Linked DNA regions of Mus musculus. The protein of the gene in region 2 purifies or fractionates together with the protein of the main gene of each other region. This does not show direct contact. Links are inferred from orthologs where the notes say so. Each region holds a gene or a part of one and is shown on either strand. Other genes may lie near its edges. The genes, in order: Rexo4 and Rpl7l1.

Evidence for each region.
Region 1: the proteins of Rpl7l1 (region 2) and Rexo4 purify together in Homo sapiens (affinity purification with mass spectrometry; 3 studies listed by BioGRID and IntAct, with this or other methods). This does not show direct contact. The link is inferred for Mus musculus from reciprocal best matches to the Homo sapiens genes RPL7L1 and REXO4.

Annotation. Positions count from the first base shown.
Region 1 is NC_000068.7:26,961,553-26,965,999, forward strand, and holds the start of Rexo4 (RNA exonuclease 4), read right to left. Parts: upstream 2,835-4,447; 5' UTR 2,767-2,834; coding exon 2,500-2,766; intron 1,172-2,499; coding exon 831-1,171; intron 1-830.
Region 2 is NC_000083.6:46,779,666-46,783,903, forward strand, and holds the start of Rpl7l1 (60S ribosomal protein L7-like 1), read right to left. Parts: upstream 2,992-4,238; 5' UTR 2,968-2,991; coding exon 2,954-2,967; intron 2,227-2,953; coding exon 2,118-2,226; intron 887-2,117; coding exon 726-886; intron 1-725.

The DNA.
Region 1 (4,447 bases), on a different chromosome or scaffold from region 2:
TCATTTGCTTTCTTCACTAGGATACCCTGACACCTCCTGCCACACACACAAATGCTAAAGTAAAATGCCTGTGTGTCTTTCCTGCTTATATCAGCCTTAGGAGGGAGGGGCCTTGTAGTCTCTCCAATCCAGCCTGCTTATATAACTCAGCAGAAGCAGTTAAACTCACGTCCCTTTACCCTTCAGCAGCTGAATCTTGTAGCCTGTCATGGGCTCACTTAGCTTGATCTGACACAACTCTCATAAACACACTTCCCATACCAGTTCCCAAAGAAATGTTCTCCTTCCCCTTTGCCCGCACCCTCCACTGTATAATCCCAGACCAAGGTTTTCTTTAGGTTTAAGGGAAGGCAGGAAAATCCTAGGCAGCAGGAAGCCAACCTGCCTTATAAGCATATCCCATCCAGGCTAGGTGTTATCACAGTGCTCATTAAGCAGGCAAAAGACACTAAGCAACACATAGTGCACTTCAGTCCCCCTAACTGTACAGATGACCACACTGAGGATAAAAGGATGCAAGAAAGCCATCAATTGGCAAAAAGGCAGGACTGGGTTTCACAGGAGTCCTTCTGGGTCCAGCACACACTATGAAAAAGTTTTTGTTGGCTCTTACCTTGTGCCAAGCTCTACACTGGGGCCCAAAGACACAGTATTATCTGTATAATAGGGTCTGCCTTTAGCAGCCCACACTCTAGGAGAAACAAGGGACGAACAAACAAATATCACAGGGTTGGGTAGAAGACTGTACCAGGGCCGAACGGTGGTGGTGAAGACAGTGGATCACCTGTTTCTGTGGATGTTCCAGGCACCACAGCAGAGTTGATACTTACTCAGTGGGCGTGGGCTGATTCAAGATAACAGCTGCCTCCGTAGCTTTCCACTTAGGCTTGAGAGCCCCTTGATGAGAAGAGATGTCACTATATGTCCTCTTCTTGGCTCCTTTCTTCTGCTCTGTTCCAGAGGTATCTGTGGGAGGTACTAGTATCTTCCTGTCCGTAGGTGCAGATGTAACAGAACCCCTAGTGCTCTTGGCCTTTTCTGTCCTCTGCTTGTCTCCCTTTGATTTATCTGAGGCCTTTTTTCTGTTCTGCTGGATTATTTGGGGGTGCATTTTGTCATCCATCTGAGAGACAAGAGGTTTTTCTGCGGCCTGTGACTTTTGTTTCAGTAGCTAATGGAATCAAAATTAAATATAAGCCACATTTATTATTTTGTTAAAAGCCACATTTAATTTTGAACTGACATACCACAGGTTCAAGAAACTTGTGTGTACATCTATTCTATCATCCATGCACTTCCCATCACCACTAATGGTGCTTTTCACTTCTTTATTTGGAGTTTCACTTAGTGACTTCCATGGTCAACACTGTGGGACACAGTGATCACTTCCGTTATCTCTGGAGGCGGCTACAGCTCAGAATCTAAGGAAGACCTGGAGGAAGGGAGTTCAATGGAAAGAAAGAAGTCCTGTGAAACCAGATAGGGCTGATCCATGTAGAGGAGAGGTCCAGGAGACCAATTTCTTCCTTGTGTTCAAATCTCCAGTTAAGACCACAACAAGATGGCAACCAGCTGAGAGATGTTGCAGTGAGTTTCTACTTATTCACTCCCCTAATACTTAAAAGGCCTGAAGGATTTAGATTCTTGTAGAAACCAGAGCCAAATCCAAGTTTCCTTTAGTAAACATGTCCTCCCTGCACACTTTACTTTCTTGGGAGAAAGAACAAGAACCAGCATACACAGCCCTGACTGTCCACAGGGTTTGGCTGCTCCTGGGTGTCCTGTTGGAAGATCCACACTAAGGAACAAGGTGGAGTGTTGTTATGGAGGCCAAGAAATTCCTTATTGTCTTTCTTACTGAGGCTCCATGACATACACTCCTCAAGACTCCCTAGAAGTCGACAGTGAAGGCATATTCAGCACCCCAGTTCTGCTGTTTACACCGTATGTGACCTACTTTCAACTCAAACCCTGTAAGTTATGTGTCACAATTTCCCCGTCTAAGAAACAAGGGCAGTAAAAGCATCTAACTAAGCTGGGCGTGGTGGCGCACGCCTTTAATCCCAGCACTCGGGAGGCAGAGGCAGGCAGATTTCTGAGTTCGAGGCCAGCCTGGTCTACAGAGTGAGTTCCAGGACGGCCAGGGCTACACAGAGAAACCCTGTCTCGAAAAAACAAAAACAACAAAAAAAAGCATCTAACTAGTATGGAAGAATTTATGAATGGGGGTAGGTATAGAGGCTCAGGACTAGGGAGGCTACCTAATGTAGGAGGACAACCACTAGTGTGGGTATACCCTGAGCTACAATAGTTCCAGAACCACTGGGCCAGAGTTCTGGGACATAGTTTAAGACGTTGCCAGGGTGGCAACCTAGATAAGTGATTCATAATTGAGAAAAAGAATTTGAATGAAGCAGAGGGCAACATCCCTTCCTCCTTCGGAGTCTGTGGCTACCTGACAGAAAGTTCGGGATGAAGGTGGCCTGTCGCCGGTCTCACCTCTTGCAACGCCTTCCAATTTTGAGAAAAGTTCTCGGGGGCCTTCGGCGGTCGGCCTGCCACAGCCGCCGGGTGGCTTCCCGGAACCCCACTTCCTGCCAGAGCTTTGCTCTTCCTGAACTTCTTCTTGGCTTTCTTCCTAGCGAGCTTCCTGATAGGCCCAGGTTGGGGCACCGGCGCGGTGGCCTTCGTCTTCATCTCCCCGCTCTCCGCAGTCGGAACCACCAGGGAAGAGACCGCGACTCCAGCAACCGCGCAAGCACACATTTCCCAGGGTGCAAGCGTGCTCCACTGCGCATGCGGGAACCCGGGTTGCTGTTCTCTTCGCGACCTGCTAGAAACCGAGACTGCATCTTTGGTTCCGCACGTATGCGGACTCTGCGACTAGCCCGCTAGTTAGCACTGGGGGCTGACAGCCCTGGCTAGCAGCGCTGCGGTTGGATACCCAGAGTTTGACGGAAGGGAGCCCAGACCTTCACAAAGATCTGGTGTCCCGGAAGGCCGCAAATGAGGAGACTCTGGGACACCGGAAAAGGCTGGGGGACTACTCTCGGTGTGGCACTCACGGGGGTACGGAAGAGGCGGAGGCGGGTCTTGTGTAGGTTGCCCTATGCACAACCACACACTGCGAATACCGAAGCCTTCCCCACGTCTCTGGTTTACTGACTGCAAAGGCACGCCAGCAGTGTCCGATATTAATGATAAAGCAAAATTTAATTGTGACTATATACGTATACATATACATTCTTAATCGCAGTGTTAATGACCAGCAATCTATTCTTGATCCTGATAGTGCAATACAGATGGGGCGGTCACAGTTGAATCGTTTGCCCTCGGGTTTCTCTGACTAGAGATAAGCAGCAAAGCCAACAGACCACGTAAGAAGGTTTGGGAGACTTGGTGGTGGCTGTTAGGAAAAATATCCAATCAGGACACCCCCTCCCCGGCACCCCCCAAGACCAAGTTCTGAGCACAGAGAAGGCTAGGCAGATTCCGCAACACACTTCAAATTGGCAGTTAAAGAGACTAGGCCTAAGGTATGGGCAAGTCCAAGCAACTCGATTACTAGTAGAAAAAAAAAAAAAAAATCCAGGCTCTAGCCTTCGCACCTGTTGGTATTCTGTCTGGACTCCACCCCCACCGAAACCTGGCAACAGCCAGATATGCTCCTCCACACAGTTACCTGGTAGCAGCTAGGTAGGACTGACCCTATAAAAGGGGCTGCTTGCCCCCTCATCCCTCTCTCTTTCTCTCTCACGCTTTTGCCTCTTGGCCCCTTGTTCCCCCCTTTCCCCATTCCCTTACCCCCTCTCTCCATATGCTCATGGCCAGCCTCCAATCCTCTCCTCCCCCTCCCCCTCCCCCTCCCCCTCCCCCTCCCCCTCCCCTCTCTGCCTTTGTCTCTACTACCCTCTTAACTCCCCTCCCCATGCCCCGAATAAACTCTATTCTATACTATACCGTCATGTGGCTGCTCTCTCAGGGGGAAGGGATGCTGAGGCATGGGCCCACTGAGGCACACCCTTCCCCCACACCCTGCCAGAACAGATCTTAGTAGCTCTTTCTCTTTTTATGATCACAACAGCACTCACTCAGATAATGGTTCTGGAATGCCTAGAGATAGAATAAGATAAAGCCCATCTACCCCAGAAATCCAGTGCGCTTTAAATCGAGCCTTCAAGCTCACTTGATGGTCTCTCTATCTTAGCAATGGGAGACCCCAGCATGCTGGACTTCTGCAGAATAAAACACTCTTTGCGGTTACATACTATTTGAGTCCAGGGTGCCAGTTTTGGGGGACCCTTACAAAAAGAGATTTATTTGCCCCAGAGGGTAGGAAATAAGAGACATAGATATGAGAGAGAGAGAGAGAGAGAGAGAGAGAGAGAGAGAGAGAGAGAGAGAGAGAAAACAAAGTAGAGGGAGGAGGCTATTTGCCCTGGGGGGT
Region 2 (4,238 bases):
AGTATGTCTACCTAGGGAAGCCAGACTGCGTCAGTGGGTGGGTAGTGAAAGCATGGAACATATTCACAGCAGGTCTGAGTCTGGCGTCAAAGCCAGGGAAGTCCAGTTCAGGAAGCTTGAAGAGAGCAGAGCTCAGAAGTTTCAAACTCAGAGGTTTTCTACCAAAAGGCACACGGCTGAGGGCAATGAAGCCTGCTAAGTGTGGACAATGCTTCTAGCACGGTGCCCTGTGTCTTTAAACCGTCACAGGACACATGGCCATGAGCAATCCTAACCTTTACTCTGTGCTTCATTGCTGGGTTTAACGGCACGTGGCACAATGCCGGGCCTACTTTCATGTCTTTTGTCAAGTTGTGGTTACTACTTTAGAAAGGGTATCACTAGGGGGCTGGAGAGATGGCCCTGTGCTTAAGAGTACTGGCTGCTCTTCCAGAGGTCCTGAGTTCAATTCCTAGCACCCACATGGTGGCTCACAACCATCTGTAATGGGATCTAATGCCCTCTTCTGGTGTGTCTGAAGACAGCTACAGTGTACTCATATACATAAAATAAATCTAAAAAAAAAAAAAAAAAAAAAGAGCCCCACCTTCACCCTGAGTGTCCTTATGTCACCCATGGTCCTAATTCCGAATCCTAGCCAATCTTCTGTAGTAGGTTAGGCTTTGTCTCCCTACAGAGCCATCTGAAGTTGAACCAAGGACTCTGAAAACACACTGGTACTGTACCTTTCCATGCGTATAACGAAGGCCAAGGGATGTTTATCAGGCACCTCCAAAGCACGAGGCTTCACCTCCAGCCGCTGGACACGCACCTTGTCACGTTGCTGTCGCCAGGAATCATGCACGAAAGATTCTAGTCGTCTGAACCTGAATTGCTTTCCTTTTCTCTGTGGCAGAGAAGACACGCATCAGCATCTCTTCCCCTCCACAGTTAACCCAGGACCATTAGTAAGAGAGCTCAGCTCTCAAACGTTCTGCAAAGTGGGCAGACCATTACCTAAGGGGCACATGAAGAGGCCAGATGGAACTGAGAGATGTAAGAGCAGTCAGTGCTCTTAAGGGCTGAAGAAAAGTTTGTGGTGAGCTCATATGCTGGTAACATTTAATACAGGTGTTTAGGAAACTCAACACTATATTAGGCATCATTAAACAAGAGGATTTTCTTCTCTTTGCGTTCAAAAATCCTGTACATACTGTGTGCAGAATCTACACATTGGTTTTTCGAGACAGGGTTTCTCTGTGTAGCCCTGGCTGACCTGGAACTCACTTTGTAGACCAGGCTGACCTCGAACTCAGAAATCCGCCTGCCTTTGCCTCCCGAGTGCTGGGATTAAAGGTGAGCCACCATGACCAGGAATTTTTTTTTAATTAGATATTTTCTTTATTTACATTTCAAATACTATCCCGAAAGTTCCCTATACCCTCCCCCCAAAGATTTATTTATTATTATATGTAAGTACACTGCAGCTGTCTTTACACACACCTGAAGAGGGAGTCAGATCTCATTATAGGTGGTTGTGAGCTACCATGTGGTTGCTGGGATTTGAACTCAGGACCTTCCGAAGAGCAGTCAGTGCTCTTAAGGGCTGAGCCATCTCTCCAGCCCACACGTGATTCTAAATAAACTTTTAAAATTGTTGGATACTTTTGGTTTGAGACAGGTTCTCTTTATATAGCCAAACTCTCCATTTTCCTGTCTCAACCTTCTAGAATGCTGAAAAGTGTGCCACAGATAGCAATTTAATCGCAGCATTCTAGAGGCCTAAGTAGGCTGATCTGTTAGTTTGAGGCCAGCCTGGTCATACAGTATTCCAGACCATATGTACAGACCCCATCTAAGAAACAAACCAACCCCAACAAAACATTTTTAAAATAATCTATTTTTTTCCCTGCCAAATTTGGTTTTACCACTAAATTTGAATTCAGAAAATGTCTTCACTTTTCCCTTAAAGGCTGGTCTAACATTTTGCTCACAGAAAGATGGTGGGTAAATCTTTGCTAAATGGAGGACTATGAGGGAGAAACCTGTGAGGGATCTGATAACAAATCTAGTTCAACGAACACCGTTTAGTAAAATCCGTCCACTACAAATCCTAACCCCCCCCCTCTCAGAATTACCTCTCTCTTTGCCAAAAGTGCCTGCTTTGCCTGAGTGGCTTTGAGGGCTTGATAAGCCTTCCTCTTTTTCAGAAGATTTTCTGGAACCAAAGGAATTTTTTTTCTTTCCCTGATAAAGGAACAAATTTGACATTAATGAAAATTGCCAAACCAACATTTGGTGGCTTTCCAAACCAATTCGAGATCCTGGTCTTCCCGGGACCTAAAGTTTCTGATGAGTCTTCGCCGTGCTCCTGTAATGCTCACTCGTCCCGAGAGCCTTTAAAAATCAGGAAAAACCTTTGCTCTCTGGGTTCGTTTTGGTCCGTGGAGCTTTAACAACTGTAGGCTATGACCTGTCACTAGCGGCAAGGAAATTCTAGTAAAATCCAGAAAGGGGCTATCACAGATCCATCAAGAAGAGTAATGATTAAGTCGAGCTAGGATGAGGTGGGGGGGGGGGGCACATGAAAGCAGGAGGGGGAATTGGGGGGAAAGAGCTTGGTGGAAGACGCAGGGGAATAAGAGATGATGGGGAGGTGATACGATCAAAATACACTGTACGTGTGTACCAAACTGTGAAAGACATGACAGCCAAGCTGAGCGAACTCAACTCTGGCGCTACGCAGCCACTCGCCCCTCCGAACCTCAGTTCCTCTTCTCGCTGCTTCCAAAGTCGTCCCGATCCCTGGTCGCGGAGCCCTACAGCATCTCAGCCCCCACCTTGACTTCATACTATGGAGCCTTTTTCTTTTCTCTCCACAGCCCACAGCTTCCTTTTGTATCACCAGAGTACAAACAGAAAGGATGGCATCGGATCCTCAAAGCCCCATAGAGAGATCCGAAGACACACTCACCCTTCCTCCGCCATCTTTCCGGTGCTTCAGCTACTGCGCTTGCGCAGCCTCACCGGGCGGGGTAGAGAGGCCCGCCTCGACGTCTCTTGTATCATAGAGACGGACTCTCGCTCCCGCAGGAGGACTCAGGCAGCCTGAGATTCCTTAGCGAATGTGAGCGTCTGGGAAAAGGTCTTGCTAGCCAGGATTCCGGCAAAAAACCCTCCAGTTTTCTTCCCATCCCTTCTAAGGTCTCTAGAGTCTGACACCCGTCTGGATCCAACCCTTTTCAGTTAGGCTGTAGGGTCTCGAACTCGGCCGCTTGTGAACAATTTAAAGGCTTTCCACAATGCATCTGCAGCTTCCGCTACGGCACGGGCTCTACAGAAGTTGGCCGCCTTGCTTAGGTGAGGTTTTTATTCCCGGAGACTTGAAGGACCGACGTGGCACTCACATTTGGTGGGCGGTTATTTGTGGAGGATTTGCGGAAATAAAAATGTGTCACCTACTCTGTGAGCCTTTGAATTCCTCACCTTTCTGCATCTCGGCTTCCTCATCCGTACAATGAATATCTACGGGTTCCCAGTGGCCGCCAGGGGGCTCCTTAAGATTTACAAAGCCTTAGCACAAGTTGGGTAAACAGTGGAGCCAGAAACTAGAAATGCTCCATTTCCATCTCAGAGCCTTCACTTGTTTAAGTTTCTCAGAATTTACTCCCATTGCCACATACTAGCACAGTGCTGTTTTATGCTAGCACAGTGCTGTTTTATGCTCTAGCCTAGGACAACGCCACTATATAACACTAGAAAGGGTCGCCACCCACAGCCTTTATCCTACACCTTTGGCTTATGGGCAGGAGACTTTTCTTATTTTCTGTGTCTCTTCTGCACCTCACTACACCACTTCACTACAGTGGGACTCTGCAAGGAATTGTTGAGTACCCAAGGACTGATACATGATGTTGGAACACACTAAAAAACTAGTCCACTCAACACGCTAATGTCATTACCAGATGAATGTCAAAGGAGATTAAGGGCACGACCTCTTCCGGCCTCCTGCACCAGGCATACCAGGTATTCTAAACTATTCCATGGATTGCGCTAGAACCATGCTTGTTTTTAAGTTTCCTCAAAAATCTCTGTCCGGGGCTGGTGAGATGGCTCAGTGGGTAAAAGCACCCGACTGTTCTTCCGAAGGTCCAGAGTTCAAATCCCAGCAACCACATGGTGGCTCACAACCATCTGTAACAAGATCTGACGCCCTCTTCTGGAGTGTCTGAAGACAGCTACAGTGTACTTACATATAA